3 linked regions of the Lepisosteus oculatus genome follow. The protein of the gene in region 1 interacts with the protein of each later gene in a pairwise test. Links are inferred from orthologs where the notes say so. Each region holds a gene or a part of one and is shown in the gene's direction. Other genes may lie near its edges. The genes, in order: lrp2a, mapk8ip1a and mapk8ip2.

The links.
Region 2: the proteins of lrp2a (region 1) and mapk8ip1a interact in a two-hybrid assay, tested with the Homo sapiens proteins (2 studies listed by BioGRID). The link is inferred for Lepisosteus oculatus from reciprocal best matches to the Homo sapiens genes LRP2 and MAPK8IP1.
Region 3: the proteins of lrp2a (region 1) and mapk8ip2 interact in a two-hybrid assay, tested with the Homo sapiens proteins (2 studies listed by BioGRID). The link is inferred for Lepisosteus oculatus from reciprocal best matches to the Homo sapiens genes LRP2 and MAPK8IP2.

The regions. Positions count from the first base shown.
Region 1 is NC_090707.1:15,774,542-15,781,974, reverse strand, and holds the start of lrp2a (low-density lipoprotein receptor-related protein 2a), read left to right. Parts: upstream 1-4,418; 5' UTR 4,419-4,493; coding exon 4,494-4,623; intron 4,624-7,433. UniProt on the Homo sapiens protein: Multiligand endocytic receptor. Acts together with CUBN to mediate endocytosis of high-density lipoproteins. Mediates receptor-mediated uptake of polybasic drugs such as aprotinin, aminoglycosides and polymyxin B.
Region 2 is NC_090716.1:6,360,730-6,367,738, forward strand, and holds the start of mapk8ip1a (C-Jun-amino-terminal kinase-interacting protein 1a), read left to right. Parts: upstream 1-3,996; 5' UTR 3,997-4,035; coding exon 4,036-4,280; intron 4,281-7,009. UniProt on the Homo sapiens protein: The JNK-interacting protein (JIP) group of scaffold proteins selectively mediates JNK signaling by aggregating specific components of the MAPK cascade to form a functional JNK signaling module. Required for JNK activation in response to excitotoxic stress.
Region 3 is NC_090702.1:14,099,469-14,107,480, reverse strand, and holds the start of mapk8ip2 (C-Jun-amino-terminal kinase-interacting protein 2), read left to right. Parts: upstream 1-4,998; 5' UTR 4,999-5,466; coding exon 5,467-5,531; intron 5,532-5,557; exon of another isoform or gene 5,558-5,642; coding exon of another isoform or gene 5,643-5,680; intron 5,681-8,012. UniProt on the Homo sapiens protein: The JNK-interacting protein (JIP) group of scaffold proteins selectively mediates JNK signaling by aggregating specific components of the MAPK cascade to form a functional JNK signaling module.

The DNA.
Region 1 (7,433 bases):
TTGTGGAAAGCGCAGTTTTCTTACGGATTGCTAATATGTTGTTATTTCTAATCAGGAACTGGTGTAACGTGATGTGACCGTACACTACAGTAATGACAAATTTGGCGTATTGTATGATCCATGTTTTACATGTGGTCAATTTTTGTTATTACTTGAGGGTGAAATCAATAGCAGGCGATGGGGACATTCTTCGGTTTGGAATAAGCTGGCTGCAATATTTGGATATTTTTTTATCCCCTTTTAACGGTTTACAAAATGTATACTGATCGTAATAGTTGAACCAATTCCCACACGGTTCCTGATTTTTTTTTTTGTGGGGGGTAGCTTGGGGATATAGGAGGTGGGCAAAATACTAACGGATTCTTATCCTTCAAGACTCCTCAGGAATTCTTTATTTTTCTAGTGAAAGGAGCTCTGCAGGGCTCTGATGGATTCCTGAAGGAGTATTATAGGGTATTTGGAGTTGCAGGAAACCCGCAGGAGTTCGGTCTAAAACGTATTTTAGAAAATCCGCACGATATCGTGTGCAGATGCAATTTTCACGCATGTATTGAATCGGTGAATCTGAGTAAAAAGAACCAATTAAAAAGTAAACAATAATTATTTTTTTCCTAAAGTTTTTAACTCACTTGCATTTGGAGAAAATCTTACAAGCAATGACTTCAGAATGGAAAAAAAAAACAATTTTAGGACTGAAATGATATACATACAGTATTTAATGAAGAAATAATTTATTAAAACAACTAACTGGTTAAGGTAAACAGCAATGTTAAAATTAACGAAGTTTTATGACTGATGACATTTATTCTAAAGTATTGACTTAACATTTATTATCTGTGTTTAATGTGCAAAACACCCACTTATTGTACACATTTCTAGAAAATACCTTATCACAGCAACAGAAAGGTGCAAAGTTTTTAAACAAAGGTGTTTTGTTTTTACCTACAGTAGATGGCAAAACAAGAAGCTGTTGAAGAATTTTTAACCCATTTCTCAGCTTTGAAACTGATGATTAAGCAGATCAAGCACCATAAATTCTGCCAGTTGTAAGTGACCTTAGAACACCTGGTTTAAAAGAGTGGGAAGAAAATCCTGGTTAATAAAATGTCATTTATGTTTAACTCATTAAGTCATACATTACTTTGTACTATGGGGCAACACCTCAATGTGTGTGGTGTAGCTGAATCTGAAGTTAGATACCATACCCTGCACTGGTGCCAAAAACCACAGCTCAGGAAAGCAAAATGCTGTCGGAACCTAGAGAACCCTCACAATGTATTTAAAGAATAGTGCAATACAAAGGGTTAAAGTTAGCCACCCTGAAAAATGTAAGAGTCCCCTTATTATCTTGTTACACCTTCTTCTTTTCATGCTTTTCAAAAGAGTCTGAGTTTTTAGCTGTAGCTTTTCATCATTGTCATTTGCTCAAAGGGAAAAAGAAGTGTATGGTCATGTTTACATAAGGCAAAAAGAAAAGAGGCAGAGCATCACTAACACGCTGCTTTAGAATCTTATACGTAAGTGTAGATTGGGCAGTGTCATTTTATACGAACACGCTTGTTAATACCAACTCATACCGTACATGCACACTTTATGTATAGATTTCACATGATTAAAAATGCTAAAAAGGGAATTAACAGAAAGTCAATAACTTATCAGCCCCAACATATTTCACTGAAAATTCAAAGGGGCATGGAGATCAGCTTCTCTTTTGAAACCCAATGACCTTATCTAATAAGTTTAAAAAGGCTCTGTCTGCACAGGTTTAATAAAGACCTTTGTCATGTTCCCTACACCCCCATGTATAACACAAAAACCTTCTCCACAATGTTGTTGCATTACCAATAGTTATTCAATGAGTATTAGTATTTTTAAAATGTCTTTTCTATGTCCCATTCCATTTACATATAAGCTCAATCGAGATTTTTTTTCTAAACCGAATCGTGGTAGTTTTCTTTTCTGGAAACGGGATGATAACCATTATAAGTTTTCATGTATTGGAATAGTAAAATAGGAATAGTGAAATCTTTAAGGTCTTGTTTCTCTTCTGGTGACAATGCTAAATTACATGAAAGTTCTGTGTTGTTTTACAGCTGTAGTTGCAATGCAACTTGTGGTAGATATGGTAGATATCTACCATATGTGGCATATGGTAGATTAAAATACAGCATTAAAAAGCACTCGCATTATTCGCTGCGAAGTATATTGAGAAAATATTAATTCATAATTATTAATTATTAATAACAACAATTCCCAGATGTCTAAAGTTTTAGTTTTAAAACCGCCTTTTCAATAGATGCGTATGCATAAAACTGGGTGGTTGAGTGAAACTAACGGGACAGTCTCAGTTTCTCTTTTTGAGAGCTCAATGTTGTTTCTACTCTCGAAGACAAAAAACAGATGCGGTTGCGATATTTGCACATCTAGAAATAAACATTGGTTGTTTGTTGTAATCTCAAAATGTATTTGGCAAATATACTGATAGTAATCATTTTTCTTAAAAATATTAGATGAGCACATTTCGAATTGAATCACCTTCCAGGGTCGCTAGAGCAGTATGGCCATAATTTTATAACACATATTTTTTCATGATGTCTTTTGCAAATGAGAAGTGGATTCATAAATAGACATTCTAATATATTCCATCTTTCTTGGAGAAAAATATATTTCAAAAGACTACATTATATGACACGTTATTGATTTAGCTTTGTAAAAGTGACAGAAACTAACTTTAGCAGGGTTTGGAGGATATTGATAGTTGTTACAAGCATGTAAAATAGGAAAGCAATTTATCTAAACCTTATAAGTAGCCTTATACGCTGGCTAACTTAAGTATATGAAGGATAATGTTTGGTGCAGATCTAATTAAGGGAGATTTCACAGTTAAGGGCTTGTTTCCCAGGAAATTAACGTTTTAGCAATTTGGGAATCAACAATTGGCCTTAGCTTTGAATAGACCTTTCAAACATGTCATGCTCGTTTGTGGAAAATAATTGTGATTTCGAAGTATTATCGAATTAAAACACATTATAGAGATATACACGTATGGTGTTCATTGCCATTAAACAGGATATTAACACTAAATCCTACGAACACATGAAGCTTGTAATGAACAAACCCCCCCCCCCCCCCCAACAAATATACTTTATTTTGTCAAACTAAACATTTGCTCCGCCAGTTGTTACCCTTTGGATTAAACTATAGGCTACTTTATCCGAAGTCGAGTCCATTAAATAACGCTGCTGGTTACGTTTGGTCGTCCCGACACTTGCTGTGAAACCACGAAAGGAATTCAACAAGCTCTCTGGCAAAAGAGGTGGATAAAGAGACGCCAGTCATTTGGGGGGAAATTCTTTTTCTCATTCACAGTAAGAAATACTTGCAGTGAAATGTAGTCTCTCGGGAGAATGTTTTTTTTTCTTTCATTCTTTTTTTTTCTGCTGTGCCACTGGATGTGTCGAAAAGCTCATTGAATATGCTTATCTTACCCTCGTGTTACTGGGGCTTGACCCCGGTGCTGTCCCGTACCAACACACTAAGGTAGCCCTGATACTGAATACAAGCACTGTGAAGCGCTCCTCCGCCTTCAAGCCATTTACAATATAGTATTGATGGTTATCTCTGCGTTGGCGATTAGAGCTAGCCTTCCCAAATAACCGTTGTCTTTGCGTCGGTTTAATAGGATAAACAGAGATCTGATTTATCACACCTGACACGTAGTCGCCTGAATATACGTGGCCTCACGTAATTTGTGTTAAAATACGAGATTATACATCATCATGCAGATATGTGACTGTACTTTCCTTGAATAAAATTGATTAAAATCAGTAACTGTTGATTTCAAAGAAGTTTTCAACATGATGGTGGTATTTTCAAATAATCTATTCACCAGGTCAGTGCATCCAATATATTTCAATTTCATCTTCATTGTGAAATAAGTAAATTCCATACTGAAATTCAGAAATAAGGCTTAAAATTTGTGAGCTGTGTGTGCCAGTTATATGGGGTGTAAAATCGCCTCTAAACAAGTTAAAAATGGCGCGCTTGAGAGCCGTGAAGAAATGGGTAAAAAGTTGCTTCAAACTGGCAAAGAGGTGACCGTGTGTCTCAATATGCTTTTGCGCCAATGCGCATCATGACAGGTTAACAACTCTTTTTTTGTGTGCCAATTTTAAATCAGCTATCTGCTTTCACTGAGTCACAGAAAAACAGTTGATGGACTCTAAGTTTTCCATAGAAAATGTATTGCCAACGTATTGAACTCGCAGCAAGTACACTGTGTTGTAGGGGTGCGGACGACGACAGCTTATTAGTGTGAATGATTGAATTATGCCGGTTCCTGGGTCCCTGGTAGAAAGGGTTTTTTTTATCCAGTGGGCCGGAGCGAAAGGAGTATTCAAAGCGCAATGTCTCGGCTCTCAAACACGCCCTTTTTCATCAGCTAGCGGGACAAGAAAGAGAGAGGCTAGCAGCGGTAGCATCCCAGTCCCCTAATGCACCTCCAACCACCCGGCCTGGACTGGAGCTGGACTGACCAGCTGGGACGGCACATCAGGATGTGGAAAGCACTCCCCGTGAATTTCTTTCTGTTAACTTTATTCGCGCTTCAGTGCCATTCTCAAGGTAAGCTAAATTCACATTTGTTTTAGGTGCTACATCCCACTCCACTTGAGGGATGGGGCACTAACGGTCAGAAACAAGCCAGTTTAGTTTTTGTATCTTCAGTAGCAAGGGTGGTAAATATGTGGGATATTGCATGTGAAATTCAATATTTCTCTTATTATAAATTAGAAAGCAGGTTATTTTAAGAAAGGTCGTTCTAGAAACATATCCAACACACGCATACTTACAATTCCTGTTCTTAAACAATATGAGTATAGAATCTCAATGTTTGGATTAATGAAATATAAAATGTGTTTTAAACAGCAATGTTATTTAGTTCCACCCTTGTTCTGACATTAGAGATTTCTCGCTTGTTTTAATTTCTATTAGTGTTTCGCGGTGTTTTTTCCAATCCTTGTATTTTTGGGATTCAGTGACAAAATAGCTGTGCCAGTCATGTGAATATGTTAAATCGCTAGAACATTTGTACATATTCTTTAATGATTAAAACTAAGACAAGATCATTAGTTTTCTTTGGCATGCTCCTTTTAAGTCAGCGTTTTCGTATTCAATAAAATTCAGAAACGTTAGTTTAATCTAGAGCACAAAGCCTCCCTCAGACAGATTTGAAGTTCTCTTGGAGAACTTTTGCCTGAGCTTTGCCGTTGCTAGGTAACAGAGGAGAGCATGTGACCAGCAGGCAATCTGCGGACTGCAGGCCACTGGTACAAATCTGACTTGGAGGAACTCCTCCGCTCTTAGTTTTGTAACATGTATTTTAAAGATGTCGTAACTTTACAGCAGCCTTTTTGTACAGTGACAGTTTAAGACCCATTGTTGTGCAGGGGGATAAAATAGATTGATTTACTGCAGTCTGTTCTTGGATTTGATCGTGCAGACTTGTGCAGACCTACTCAAATTATAATCTGCTTTCTTTTTGCTCAACCCTTAGTATATAAGCTCCTTAGTGTGAATCAAGCCACTAATTATACTGCAGCTGCTGCTAGAAGCAACCATTTATGTTTCAGAAACAAGACACGAAAACAAGATATATAAAATTCAGATTCAAAATTTGCACTTCGAGACTAGGGTGTCAGTGGAATTGATCTAAAAGTTCGTTTCGCATCGAATCTCACGGTGTTTGTAATGTATGTAAATTGGAATGTTTTGTCACAGAGTAATAGTCTCTGTATATAATAGATCTGTAGGTAATTTATTTTGGTTAATCTCAACAAAACATTACTAAAATGATCGTATATATTTTGCAAGTGTATTGTAAAAAAATATGCACTGTAACTTTGTACTGAGTATAATTTGTAATTGCTTTGATGTGTTAAGACAATTTTTTAAAGAGATATTTAACCATTTCCAAAATAACATCTACTAAGTATATGCTTCGTGTGATCAGAAAGAGATCTGTCTATGCACTTTCTATTTTTTCAAAAATCCTTTTAAAACTTTAAGATCCAGTAATGTCTTTGTGGGGTGATTATTTCCAAAGTAAACTGTGAAACATTTTAAAAGCACCTTTGTCAGGTCTTTAAGGATGCTGATGTAGCAGTTATCGACGCTGGAAACACTGAAGTGATTGTAATTACTATAATATTTAACTAAGTGTTGTCATTACTTGTATTTTTCTGCTTGTAAATAATTTCCATTAAGGCATTTTTGGTGAAGCAGCGAGAATGTTAATAGTTTTTTAATGTTAATCATCTACAAAAATAGGAATTTCTTGTTCTTAAAAAGTTACCTTTTCAAGTTTAACACTACAGTGGTTCCAGTTAAGAAAACATGTGCTAATGAAGTTAGTCTTCATATTATTAAATGACAAAGTCCAGCTGCACTATGGTAAATAACCTGTTTTAGAAAATGTTTCCCAAAATACGAATGTGGTTTGCTACCCGTGTCTGGCTCTCCTAACATCATGCTAATGTTGTTCAGGTGGGTGGCTGCGTCAGCATGCGTAGGCTGCAAAGGAACAAGTAATAGGTTCCACAGGCGAAAAGGTTGTGTTTTCTTTCTTCTCTTTTCAGCCTGGAATAAACCTATTGCTTGTCCCATCATGCTAATGTGTGTTTTTCATTTAGATCTCCTCAAAAAAGTGAGCAACTAATGGCTGATTTAATCCAGATTTATTCAGCATGCGTTTCAGAGGAAATGACCAAAACAGCCACGAGGAGGGGGACAGGGATTCTGTCATTCACTAATACTCGTGTCTGCTGGGGTTACGAACATCAGTTTTAAAGTCTAGATTTCAAGGATATTTGATCAACATGCAATACATTATTTTTACAATCCTTGAAAAGAGTCATTTTTACATTTTACTTTGGAATGCTTCAAACCTTAAGGCTTTCATAGCACAGCTTGCAAAAAAGGAAATAATGAGCAGAATCTAAAAGTGCAACTTGTAACATCATCTTGATATAACACTGGCAGGTTATAGCATTTAGTTAGCTATAGAATTGACTCACGCTGATGAGTAATGCCTGAGATGGGATTGATATCTGACAAAGAGGCATTGTTTGTTTTGTAAATCGCCTTCTTTTTAAAACTTTAGTTTACAATATACATTAGCATATAGTAAATAATTAAAATCCATAGATCCTTGTCTTAGAGCCAATGATCAGACACTTCATTTAGGCATTTACCTTGAGAACAGCACTAATTTACAGAAGGTACCATAGAATCACAGCTCTGGACTTGACAGGGTCAATAGATCATAAGAAGAATTAGATCATAAGAAAAACATATTGACTGAACTTTGACAAGCCAGTGCTACATTGTGCTTCTCTTTAAAAAACTTTTCAATGTGCAGTTATCTTCCCAAATGT
Region 2 (7,009 bases), on another chromosome or scaffold:
ATAAGGCATGTGTGAGAAAAAGAAATGACACCTAGCACTTTAGATTTTGTCTGCAGCTACAGTACATGGAACTATTTCAGTAGGAGTGGTATTGTAGCGTATTACAGAAGGGTTTGTTTTTGCTCTGCTTCTTATTGATTCGTTATAGAACCAATTACCCCCAGCAATTTTCTTTATCCATATAATTCCCTTGGACAGTTTACAAAACTCAGGTTTTTGTTTCAGTTATTGGAAAGTCAACTTATTTTCTCTTGTAGCTCAAGTAGGGAGCTGCATCAGCAGGCATAGGCTGCAAAGGAACAAGTGCAGGCTTATTCCATGTTGAAAAGAGAAGAAAAGAATCGTTTCAGCTGTAGAGCCTTCTTCAGGTGTTATTTTCTCTTGTACTGTGTATTTTAATAAGGTGTCCATGGCTCCAATTAATTGCTCCGGGATCTGCTGTTCACGCAGAATGTTGCTCTGGTGGACTAAAGCAGCTGAAACGTTTATGGGAGGATCTGTGTGTAAGCACCGGTGAGCCGCTGTTCCGTACATGGCCTCAGGAGCTGCTCCGCTCACTTGAAAAGAGAGCACTTTACTGCATTATGCACCGATTCTAAAACATTTAGAAGAGGGCTCGGGGAAATTACCCTTCCTTCTGCAAGGTGCCGAAAGTCAAGCCAATTAATAATCCACAAAGGGACTGAGAGGAGTGGTATCTGTGAAAATCATGGGGAAGATTAAATTGCATCCTAGATGTTATTGATGTGCTCTTATGGTGTATTAGAAGTTTTGTAAAAAACAACAACATGGGGGTATCCACTGCTACCACTGGACTTGAACAGACCTAAAACCTTTAGGTATATGACTCCCTTGTGACTCTATTCTTTATAAATTGTTCTGCCTTGAATTGAATCACTATCAGTCCAATATCGTTCTGTACCTTGCCATGCCTTTGATGAGCAACAGTGTAAACAGTCTGGACAAGAACAGGATAAGTCCATTGACATCTGTTACTATGCATTAGTATCATCTTCTCACTTAGAAGCATGAATAAATACAGCAATATTCTACAATTGTCTTCTGTCAGCAACTGAAAACAGCAGTGAGATCTGTGAAAATCAGCTTTGCAATGAAGTATCAAAAAATATTGATACCCTTTATAACCGATTTTTAGCCTGACTTGATTGTTTAGATTGTTATCATAAATAGCATTCAATAGAAAAAATGCTGTCTCTAATTTTATGTGATAAGCAGAGTAAATATAAAACTGGGCACTTTGCAGCATACACCATACAGCTCTTTTCTTCTGTTATTTTCCAAAAATATGTTTTTTAGGGAAAGGCTGACATTAAAACAGATTGCATGAGTTTCCCAACTTGCAGGTCTGCGGGAGAAATAAGGACAAATTCATCTGGGCATTTTAAATTAATATTTTAAAAATTCCATTAGAATTTATCCTGAAATTAGGTTACTAATTCCTCTATATCTCATTAACGCTGCTTAAATTTATGCAAAAATGTCCGTCCTTTCATGTTGACTACAGTTATCCTGCAAATTGAAAGCTACCTGGATTATTCATCATCTAAAATTCAATTGGCTGTAATTATCTAAAGTGCCTCAGCAAAAATGTAGTATTTGGGAAGGACATGGCTTAAACTGTTAGAAGGAATCCATAAAATAATTCCTTGCTGTTGCTGTATATACTGTAGCAGTTATTATGCCAGTGATCCCAATGTACAATACATATAGGATGGGACCCACTTTCTCTTCATTGGATTCTAAAACAAAACTCCACATCGAAAGAGCCTCAGGCAAGAACTGAACATTGGAACCAAGTGCTTCTCTAGTTGAGAGTGCTGTCATGCAGCAGTCCTACTGTAACGGCCATGCCACCACACTTCTGTCAGTGGAGAAAACAGATTCTAAAAATAAGGCATTCCATAGGTATATACTGTATTCAGTGCTGAGAAAACATCAGATCAGCAGCTTTTATAGCATCTGTACATTCATCTCATGTGAAACTCTTCTGAGATACAGGTTATTTCCCGCAATTTATAAGTTTAGAATGACTTATGTTCAGTACATTTCACATCAAACAAATTATTAAAATGATGGCCTCCGTTTTGCTGTGCAAAGAAATGTTGTCATTCTTTTTCTGCACCTGGTTGTTGTTGGACCACCTGGATGATGATGACTTTTTTAAAGAATTTTGTAGGTTGGCGGAACAAATCTTGTCTTGAATTTGCTTAATACCTGTAGGAGAACAAATACTTTTTTTTTCAAATGTACCTTTCACCTAAGCTATTGCTTAGTGAAAATGCTTGTTTTAATGAAAATACATTTTACATGCTGAGCTGGTTTGCATTCACTCTTTTCCTTTTTCGCTTAAAAGGAAAGGTTATTAAAACACATGCTATATCTGCTGATATCTGGCATGTCAGCGGAATGACTTTTGTCGGACCAGACTGACGTATCTTTCTTGTGTTTCAGGCTGTTGTGTGTTTCTAAAGCCCAGCAGGTACTATTGTACAGTATACCACAGCATTTGTTTAATGTACCTTGTTCTTTAAAGAAAATGATCTTTCTGATATATAATTCAATTTATTGAACAGTCATTACTCATACAGTATCACATGATAATTGATTTGTAAACCATGAAATACAACATAAAGGGTGTATTAGTGCATTGGTGCATTCATTCAGGCCTGCTGCAATCATGTTATGAATAGATTCAGGGATCACAACTCACCAGTCACACCAGGAGGGGCGTTATGGACAAGCTCGGAGATATGAATGGGCTGTTTCCCTGGTTACAAAGCACAGTGCAGGGGTAAATAGGCCAATCAATGTGGGTAACTTGAAATGAAATATCAAATTAATCTGCAGTAACTGCACCCAGTTGACTTGAGCTCACTTATTAGTGGAGTGAGACAGCATGAATATTAAGAGATAGAAACCATTAATAGGTAATACACTACAAACTCTGTATAGGATAAAGGATAAGAAAGAAGTTTATGAAATGATTAAAATAACAACAGGGTCCAATTAATGAAAAGTAAAACAGGATATTTGGGATATTCCAGTAGAGGCTTAAGTAAAATAAAACTAGAAAGTTGTTCTAGCATTGAAACAGCAGAAGAGCCTTAAAAGATGGCTGATGCACTATTACTAAGTGCTGTTGCCAAGTGGGCTGGATGGGTCAAGTGAACTCCCCTCATTTGTAACGTGTTTTATGAACAGTATTTCACTCAGGTGATCACCAAGGAAGAAGTCAATAGAATGCCAGGTGGTGGAAGGACAACGTTCTTAATATTATTTCTTATCACATTCAGGATATAGGATATACATATGTGGAAAATGTGCATATTTGGATTGACAATAATAAAAAACAGGATACAGATAAGAGGCAAATGCTAAGATTTGGGCACACTAATTAATAGAGTACCACAGGGATCTATACTAGAACCACTGCTCTGATTCTGGGTATTTAATAAACTAGTCACGTTTGCAGGTTATACCAAAATAGGAGTCGCAAATAAAATTCAAAAAGCTTTAGATAAAAATTGCAGACTAGGAAAACACCTGACATATGATGTTAAATTGAGGGTGTTGCATGCAGATACCCCTAAACCTTAACTAGGTTTGAACAGAAAAGGCTTCAAAGAGACCTAGTGTATTCAGAGTCCTTAAAGGCACTTACATTGAACCACTTAAACACGTGGTAACTGTTCCGAATGACCTCGGCATTGTATTTTTTTTTTGACTTGGCTGCTACAATAGCAATATTCATTGCAACAAGAAAAAATGTATATACTGTAACCACTTTTTGGTTGACAACATCCAATTCTGACACCATTTCAAGTAACTAAAGTATTATTTAATATTTTTCAGAAGTTTAACTTGCCCTGCTGTGCACTCCATTGAATTAACGACGGATTTTGCATTTTAAGTTGATTTGTTTTCTGAGACGATGACGACAAAGACGATTCTCCTTGTTTTTCCGGTTAATATCAACGTACACAGGTCCGCTCCGCCTGTTTCTGGGGACCTGGAATGAGAAGCTGGCGCCTCGCCTCCCAATCTCTCTCTCTCTGTGTGTGTGTGTTGTTTCTCTCGCCTCTCCTCCTTAACTGGATTTCCATCGCAGCATCCCTGCTACTGGGCTACTACTTTCTCCAGGAGCGAACGAATGGATATATAATAATAGGGCAGAGAATGGCGGATAGAGAAAAAAGAAACCCGTCTCCAACTGGATCCCCTTTCTTGGGTTTGCACATCACCTCCTCGCCTAATTTCAGGTAATAGAGCTCAGGATAATCAAAGGGTACCGCAAACCCCTATCGAGCCTAAGGGCTTTTCGGATAACGAAGCTGGTGACGGATTGAAAACAGTGACAGGCTATAGCAGATAGATTGTTACTGCAGAAAGGGGATGCTCATGAATATACTGTAGTAGTGGTTGCTTCCGAGACGGAAAGTGCATTGTTTTTTTCCGTGCATCCCGTTATGTAAATTGAATCGATACAGAGAACCGGGGCAAGGCTGGCGGACGCACACAAATAGTTGCTGTTTACAAACACGAGTCTTTCTCATGTAAATTAAAGGGCGTAGTCCATTTTTATTCAGGTGAACAGATTGAAAACTCCCGTGATCTTGACGACACTGCGCGGAGGAAACAAAACAGATATCAAAGCTCTGTTTGTTGCTGTTAGAAGTTGGAAAGCGCTGCACGTTATTTTGTTACTGTTTTTGGTTTGGGCTTATTATTTTGCATCAAATCTCGAACACGAATGAACTCATTGATCATTTGGAATTGATGAGAATATTAGGCGAAAAGACTACTCGTGAAATCTAAATATCACCATTATTTACTCTTCACTAGAAATGTAAAATATAGATTTAACATACTATAAATATATTACGTATCTACTGTACCTATTTATCTAAATAGAGGCATCACACAGCTTTTCAGGTATGTGTGCAACTGGTTGACAGCAACAGTCATAGTGCTTGTGTGTGAAAAGTCGATACAGAGCGTGAATGGTTTGTTACTAGTTTGGTAGTAACTTTATAATTACCTGACCTTATAATCGAGAAATATGCATTGTATTTATTCAAGATATTAAGCAAATAAGAGTAAATCCGAACATGCATTATTCTGCTAAATACTTAAGCTCGGAGAGAGGTCGCTATTAGAACTTTGAATCTGTTGTCCATTTTATGGCATTCAAACCTCCTAAATCCAGTACATTACTACAGCCTTTGCACTTGTGCATAATTTTGCTTCAAGAACTTAAGGATGCTTTGATTGAATCTGTTATCTGCAGAAAGAAAACAACCTTGGAAACATGTTTCTGTTTCATAGCATTGTGGTTAAAAAATCACAGCAAACATTTCACTTTTCCATCAGCATAAACGTTATAGATCAGAAGCCTTTATGGTCTCTAAGGGTAACATGTTTCACCATTTTTATCAGGGTGCAGGATGTGTACATCTCTTTTAAAGGGGAAACAAGAAAATGCAGTGATGAGATCTGTCATGCACAGTGTGTGGGGTATGTGCAGTGGTTCGGCTGCTGCTGCCACAGAGTATACAGAGAAAAAATGATGAGATCTTGCTGTACAAAAATATGTTACAGTGACATATTCATATCTAGTGGGGTTTCAAAACTCAACAAATTAGGAAAGTATTTGTGCTGAACGTCAGAAACTGCTCCTGACAAGTATCTTTGCATCTGATTGAAGTGGATAAAAATGTGCACCAGCCAATATTTTCTTGCAGTGTGGGATGCTGTCCCATTGCAATTGCATACCAAGAATAAGATGCTGACATTAACAAGTAAACAATCATTGCACAGACTGTTGTGATTATTACGGTGACTAAAGTACATGACAAATGTATTGTTATACTGTGCACAATACTGAAAACTCAGTATTTATGTACTGAGTTTTCAACCTGTCAAAAATATTAACACACTGTAAAGGAATGTCCACACTTGCTTTATTTATGTACAGTATGTGTTTAACTTTCAAGAGACGTAATCTGTCACAGAACTAAGTCAGGATGCACTACAGGGACTGTCATTGCCTACATTATTCAGTAAATTCCATAAAATAATAATCTGTAAATCCCTTTTTTTGTTACGTTTAGCTTTCCTGTATTTCTGGGATAACCTTTAAAAATCCCCAGCACTTCACATGTTGGCTGGTTCCCAACAGAAAGACATCTGTTGACTTATTTTTTATTTACAGTCATTTGCAAGGGTTAGTTTCACAACATGTTATTGCAGTCGTTTAAAAAACTAGTGTGATATTTTTAATGCTATCTTCTGCTGAAGGCTCAATGGCCCTTATGTGACTTTTCCGGTGTACAGATTGCCTTCCATCAACAAATGAATGCATTAATGACTGAATAATGATAATAATAGAATTCTGTAATTTGCAGCAAATTAAATCTGACTGCCTGCATACTGAAAGTACCTGCTTAGTTGATTCAGTATGCTCTTCATGCATCTTTTAGTTCTTTTCAGAAATGTAATCTAAAATGTCAGTAATGTTGGAATTAGATAAACAAATCATTTTTAGCAGGACCTTTCCTTTGGTTTTCATGCTATTGAAAATGATTTAATTTCATCAGGGGCAACAGGAGGTTAGGTTCTAGACTTGTAACTGGAAGGTTGTGGGTTCCAATCCCAGCTGAGGCTCTGCTGTTGCACTCTTGAGCAAGGTAGTACTTCAACCAAATTGCTCCAGTTGCACCATACCCAGCTGTATAAATATGTGCAAATGCAGTTCAATTTGGATCAAACCATCAGCCAAATAAATTAATAATAACGAAGGAGAAAGTAGAAGAGGGGAAAGATTGTGAAATTTGGGAAACAAATCAAGTGTCATCTGAATGGTCAGTGCATACATACTGCATGCTCATACCTATCTCTCTGTTATCAGGCAGCCAGTCATTTTTAGTGATTATAATAAAAGTGATGCAGAAATAAGTCAATATAAATACAAATGGAGATGTTTAGTAGA
Region 3 (8,012 bases), on another chromosome or scaffold:
TGTCATGTCATGCACTAGTTATACTTTATTTCTAATATCATGGACAGTTTTGGTTACCATATTATAAAAAAAAGATATTGGTGTTCTGGAAAGTCCTGAGAAGAGCAACCAGATCCATTCTAGTACTTAAAAGAAATGTCCCACAATGACAGGCTACAATAACCTAACCTTTTTAGATTCGGTTGTTGTTTTTTACCCTTGAATATAAAATAATTACAAGAGGACCTGATATTTAAAATCCTCTAAAGGCATTGCCAGCCCAATGAAGTTCTTCAGAATGAACAACAGAAAACAAAATACAGGACACAAGTGGAAACTACGAGGAAGTGCTTTTAAAACCCAAGAACAAGAGGCCTCTTCCCCAAAGGATTAAGGGAGTATGGAATGATATCCATCCATGTGGTTAAAGCCTTTACCTTCAAGAAAGGTCTGGATAAGCTCCAGCTACTTATTACCCAACAGTCTAGACGGGCCAAATGGCTTTGTCTCATTTGTAACCTTTTTTATGTTCTCATGTCCTTAAAAGCCAGAAGACACAGGGGTCCCTCAAGACCAGCGATGAGAACCACTGGAGTAGACAGTATGTCAAGAGCTGGTAAATCACAGCCTGTTATCTTGGATGCCATTTTAAGAACTTTCTTGTGCTGACATTAATCATGTTTTCACATGGCTCCAAGTCTCACTGATGGGAAAACTTAAGTGCACTCTCTGTATTCAGCAAAGTGAGTCATAATAATCAGACTTACCCCACAAGAAAAAGAAAAATCGAATGCTGTTGTGCTTTGTGGGAGGGAGGGAGAAACTGTGAGAGCGTGAGTATTAAATAAATGTTGTTTTTTTTTTTAGAAAGTCCTTTCAGATGCTCTGGGTGTGAAGGGAACCGTGAAAAAAGAACGGCATCTGTATATGGTGGGGCAAACTAGAGTCCATGTAGACACAGTTGAAGGCCTGGGGCACTTCATGGAGCTGGAGGTAAGTTAACTAACAGTCCCAGCTTTAGTGTTCACACTGATTCTAGGGAGAAGTTGAGGCCTGTGTTGAGTGTTGTGGCTGTTTAATGTTCTGTATATATGATATTCTTGCAGAGTATTTGTGGTATGTATTGAATCCAGATGATGCATTATTGAAGTTGCATCCATCAACCTAATTTATAATTTCCTTAAGAGAACTATGCCATGTTGTGTGTCCTTAGAGTTCTTTAATCTGAACTCATGCACACTATAAAATAGTTTTAAAAAAAGTTTTTTCATTATATTGCACTTCATTTTAGTCATTTTAAAAATCACTAAAATGTAGGACTTTTCTTCACAAACCATGTGATACTGATTTTGATCTCTGATAAGATGTAGATCGGACTCTCAAATAAAATGACAGTGAAGGAAATATTAAATTAGCACGTAGTTACATATTCATATATCTTGATTAAAAAGAATTTGTTTGCTTGCATTTCTGTTTTAAATTTCAGATTTTAGAGGAGATCATTGCAGAGTTATATAAAAACAGAGCAACTTAAAGTTTGTATATCAAGTCAGAGATTTAAGTTCTTAAACAGTATTTCCAGTATTATGGATTTATGTATCAACCACAGGTGGTGCTGAATGATGGACAAACTGAAGAAGAAGGAGAAGCTATTGCCCACAAGCTTATGGATGAACTGGGAGTTAGAAAGGAGGACCTCATTGTTGGAGCATACATGGATCTTTTATTAGCCGATAAGAAGTGTTAAATATGACAATTAGTAAGGCATAAGTAAATGCAGTTCATTTTGTAATGCTTTTACAAGCATAATAAATAGATGAAAATACATCTATCTAGCACTTTTTTGTTATAGTGGCTGACTACTGTCGTTATTAATACATCTGTTGAACCATATGTTTGACAGTATCAGGCTTTATTTACTTCTGACTCAAGCATAAGCCAGTACCAAGTTTAGTAATTCATAGAGAACTGATTTCCACTAAAACCACAGTGGCTAACTGAAACAACCAGAAGGTTACAAAGTTTCAAGCTGCTTGCACACCCACAGTTAAGACATTTCACCTTCATCAACAAGAAGCTCCTTACACAGGATAACTGAAAGGCAAAACTACCTTTTTAATCAAATCAAAGCATAGAATAATATTGCTCCACTGCATTTTATATCTTCACTACCTTCACCAAAAATGTGCTTGACTTCTATTCACCCTAACCCTGCAGTTAAATATTCCTTATTTCAGTACAGTGCATATTATTTTTAATCAACATGATGTTGTGCCTATAATTGGGTGTTGGGAAATGTATTGGAGATGTTTATATATTTCAAGTGTAACATCAGAGTTTTAGTACTCTGTAACATTTATTTTTGCATTGTATAATTTCATTCTGTGATGTAATATTCATGTTCTAGATGTTTGTTAAGCCTGATGATAGGATTAGTGAAATACTTTCAAGAAATAAAAAACTTTGAAAGGAATGAGCACATTTCAGTGTGCACTTTACTTCTTATAAGAAATATCTCTGATTGGCTTGCCAGTCCTGGTATGAGATGAGTTATAAATGATTCAACCTCATGAAAACATGAGATAAACACACCTGTTCTGCAATAGGTTAATAAAATTATGTGACTTTTCTTTAGGATATCCAAAAGATACAGCTCAAACTTTGAATAAGTGTTTAGTAATGAGTGATCTGAGCCTCATTTTGTTATGTGAAAGTCCTGAAAATAATTACAAGTGCTGTGTTAGTGTATATCATACCACACCTTCAAATGCATCTTGGTGTTCTATAAAAAGAAAGCTGTTGAAAAGAGATTGCTGAATTTATAATCTACTGACAAAGGATAAATTTGAAATTTTAAATCTGAAATCTATTATTTGGTGAAAATTGTCTATAAAACCACCTTCAAAATAAAAACTTAAGTTACTTACAGTGATTTGATTATATTTTGTTCACAGGAATGGGTCTTTTTATCCTAATCAAATTTCATCTAGCGTCACGCTAAAGGATAAATTAATGCTCTTATTATTTTTTGCTTTGTTTCCTAGTACATATTATCTGCTTTATTGCTTCTAAAATAGCTTTTAAAGAAGCAAGATATTTGTGTTTGTATAGTATATATAAACTATCCCATTCTGTATTCTTACAAGCATCTCTTTTAATTGGAAAGTAGAACTGCTAATTTCTTATTATTCTATGTGTATTTTAATGCAAAGATCCACAACAATGAAGTCTCAAATAATGTTTGAATAATTGCATATTTTTATTTCTAAAGATTATAGATCGAAGACATTATGAGGAAGACATTGAACTTGAGTAAAAGATCTTTGTATGGAATACTTTTAGTTGTGTTATTTTTATAGGAGTGACAGCACTATGCCTTGTGCAGAAGTTACATTACGTGAATAAGAGTCTCTAAACTGACAGTGTGTACGCAGTAATGGACAGGTTCTCTTTTCTAGGGTGTAATAACCTACCTATCCGTCTTATGGTCCTGACATGCTCTGGGTCAGCGTGACACTAGAAATAAGCCGCCATTCGGTAATGGATGGATGGAGTTTGAATTGAGGTAGTACACAATTAAGATAATAGTTAAGTGTTGTAATACCTTATTTCTCCATAGGTGGCTCTCAAATTCCTACACAATTTCAGCACCAAAGGCGATAGAACAGCTCTATGCTTCGACGCATACAACAGATTTTAAAAGTAGGTACTGCGTAGGCTGCAAAGGAACAAGTAAAGGTTTATTCCATGCAGAAAAGGTAAGAAAAGAATCAGCTTTTCGGAGCCTCCACATCCGAAACGATATGTTTCTTTTCTGCGTGGAATAAACCTTTACTTGTTCTTTACAACAGGTTTTTTGCCACTGCGCAGTAGTTTTAGTATGCTTATTTAAAATGCATCTTTTTTAATTCATTGATGTGTCTGCCCTTCCTTTGGACTTTGGTGTTCTGTAAAGGAGTGGTTGATTATTGAAAACGGATGCTTGGATGTATCTTTGTAAACTTGTTAGTGTTAGTCAAGACTCGTCACCGGGGTGCACTTGTTAACGCTTTTATTTAAGGTCAGTATGGTTTATATTCCTACAAGAAATAGTGCTGGCCTCACTAAATCAAGATTGCGGACCATGTTCCCACATTAAGACTGTAAATACTCTTCTGTATTCAAATGCAAAATACTGAGAAACTAAAATAAACTCGAGTATTGCCTCCATGGTTTTGAAGTCGGTTATTTCCATGGTTTTGAAGTGTTTGGCAATTCTTCAATGCTGCCAAGTGCTAATCTGCCATGACCACATGTCAAGTACTGTTTTAACACTTTACTTCAAATACTATCATAACGAGTGCTTAAAGATGTAGAGCTTTTTCTAAAATGTCTGGGATTTCTAAAAAAACGTACATGGCTACATACTGTAATACAACGCGCGCTTAATTAACTCACCAGCTGCTTCTTGAAAGGATAGAAGTTGTTACAGACTCCAACAACTCCCGTTTTCAGTTTAAATGCGGTCCAAAGGAGCTGATTTGTGATTCATTGGTGAGTCTGACCGATCGTTTAATTTTCTTTCCACTCCTATAAATGTAGACATACAATATCAACAGAGTCGTACACGATGGTTACTGTATCTGGTATAACTTTGACAGAATCCTCAGTTCAGGAGTAAAATGTTACTCCAGGATATATCTGTGGTGCTGAGTCAGTGGTTTTTAGACCAATTAAAGAAGAAAGACATGCATTTATGCTCTGAATAATTGTGAAGTGTTTGTCAGCGCATTCCAGTATTACTGTACGTGATGTCCATGTAATACAAAATCTTCTCCACCCACAAACAAATCAATCTCAGTCATAATATTCACAAGCCATCAGCAAAATGCAACCTATTGTACGTTTTTTCGAAATATAGAAAAATGCTATTAAACGCGCATAATCATAACAGAATATGATAATGCTGGATGATACATCTTGGTTTAAAATGTGGTCTGTAGTCTTAAGTACGACCATCCGCAGTGCTGTTTCCTGCTTTGCTAGTTCAGTACAGATTTTTACCTCTTGCTGTTTGATATACTGTACATAGTATTGGGGGAGCTTGGTGTGCGTCCTTTGGAAGGGATAGAGGCTGCGCTTGATTTTTTTTACAAGAGCTTGCTGTTGCATTCCATAGCTCTGATTCTGTGAGTACTTAGCGCTAGATCTATGCAGGTGTATGGCAGTGTTTAATCCACGATTATTTAAAACAACCATTTTCCTAATCAGCACGCTCTTCCTTTCCTTTTTCCCCAAGAGGATTATCTGGATTTTCTGATCGTAGATAAATGTATCCGTGGTACAATTAGTTCATGTTAGTGACATCTGCAGTGTTGCCACAGAGGGGGGCGAAAATTCTTCGCTGATCATCATCCCTTGATCCGGTTTGCCTGCACCCTCTCTGGCTGTGAATGGGCTGTGCTTTGTGATTATCTGCAGTCACTTTTGAGTCATTTCTGGAAGAAGATGGCGGACAGGGCTGAGATGTTTTCTCTCTCCACCTTCCATTCCCTCTCTCCTCCAGGTTGCAGGTAAGACTGCTTCAGCAGCAACATTTTCATTTGCGATAAATCAAGGACATAACGAAAACTCCCGGGCGCTTTGCTGCAGAGGCCAAGGCTGTCGCGGGAGGAGCAGTAGGAATGTCACTGGGTGATGCTCTCAAGTACCGCTACGACAGGTCTGTTGATTCTGGCGCATGGGAGGGTTGGATGGGGGGAAAGCCGTACATTAAAATATTAGATTTGTACTTTTGCTTTTATTATTGTTTCGATATTATTGCTTTCTTTCATAACTATATTTCCAGTGTATATATTGTAGCGTTGCAAGTTTTTTTATTTACCAATTGCTTCTGTAAAATAACACCAGTATTAACATTATATTTAAAAGGAGAGAAATAACCTGAAAGGATATCAAACGGTTGATTCTTTGTAATTCTTTGCTTTACACACGGTTATTAATTGTATTTATCAGACGTTCGAGGAGTTGCTTCTCAAGAGGCCCACGCCCTATTAGATGCATACATGAAGCCTCCATAGTGATGTATTTATTTACAATTATAATTGAAAGAAGGACCCCACTGCTGACATAAACCGATCACTATGTCTGGACTGCTTAATTCTTTTTTCGTCGATTTTAAAAGAGGACTTTGACCCGTGATGTTTATGATTGCTAAAGCTACCTATCCGTAACGTTTGACTTAATGCATATTCACTAGAACGAAATAAAACTTTGTTGACAGCGCACCTATACTGCAGAACACAAAAGAGTGAAATGTATAAAGTTGTACATAAAACTAATAAACCATTTCAGCACCTATCTTTCTATATTATCTCTTACTTGTTATCATGTGATTTAAAAAGACTAGAAGTGGGGTATTGAAGTTGAAATGGGTTGTATGAATGAATGTGAATTACAGTATATATCATAAAAAATGCTCATGCTGTTCTGAAAATAACCCTAATAAAATAGTTTAGTATGAACAGTAATTATATTAAAATGTAATTTTGTGTTTGCTTTTGTAAGGAAAGCAGCTTTTGTAGACATTTGTACTGAGCCATTCCAATTAGGGGTTGTATTCTAACTATTTTGATGAACACAAAAGTCCAGCAAGCTGCGGGATAATCATATTTTTGCACATTGCTCCAACAAATAATTTGTATTCACCCTACTAGGTAAGCATGTCCTCTTAATATGTATTTATAAACAACTATTTGTATTCATAAATATTGACGCAGGGCAACGATTCTGAAGGATTTACTACTGAAAGCCGTCTCTCTTTATTTGAGGCATGCTTCAGTGTGTGTGTTTGCACAATCCACATGCCACTCGGTGTCAGGCAGGGAGTGAAATCTCCCTGGCCCTTGGGGTATTGCAGGAAAAATAAGCTTTGGCCACTTCACAGTCTGAAGCAGTATAGTATTACTTTTCCCCCACCTTAACATCAGAAAATCAGTTCTATTGTAATCTTCAGTGAAGGTGTACCTCTAGGATCCATATTCTTAAAAGGACCACCATTTTGATTTAAACAACGTTGACACTTCCCTTAGGGCCATCAAAAAAAACAGCCCATTAAGGAAAGGCTGAAAGGAATGTCTGTAGAATTGGAGCATGATTTTTAGGTGGTGAGGAGGAAAAAAAACAGGATACATAAAATTGGAAGGACAAAAATAAATGCAATAAAGACAGTAAACAATAAATTACCTTCTCTATGCTCTACAGTTTTCATAGAAGAAAATATATATTGTAAGTTCAGATATTACTCTAGGAGGGTTTTTTTTTTGCTAAAAATAAAAATGAGAATAGATTTTTTTGATCCCAAAGGGAAATTGAGGTGTTACAGCAGCCCACCCCAAGACAAGCAAAGACAGATATCATAACAGACGAAAAATTAAAATAAGTATAGCAATACAAAATAAATATATAGAGTTAGGTGTGTGCAAAATATGCTCATAGTCACTGTAAAACAGTAAAATACGTGCAAAATGCACATAGGTACTGTATATACAGATTGAGTGTCCAAAAAGTACAATAGTGCAACATGCTGTCCATAGATGAGCAGATGAAGGGCAACAGTCCTAGCCTAGGGCAGTGTAACACACCCTGACAGCGGCCAGGAGGAAGGACCTGCAGAAACGTTAATATGAGAATATAAGTAGGTGAAGTGTGGTGGGGATTCTTTGATGTTTCTGAAACACTCACTGTTAAATAGAGCCATCACATCTTTTATTTTATAAGATCAACTGCAGTGAAACTGAACAACAACCCAGTCTCAAGTTACATGCTTTCCTCTTACGCAGGGGTATCACATATTCGTTTTCGAAACTAAATGAAAAATAAAGTGGTATTTTCAGTTTATCTTACACTTCTGTTTCAGTAGAATATTGGTCAGATTTCAGCAGGTTTTCACAAAATATTGGTCAGTGCAGAGCCACATCAATGAGACTTTCCAAGCACAATGGTGCAGTCATTCCCAATTTTATTTCCCTGTCATTCTGTATTTGTGTTCATGT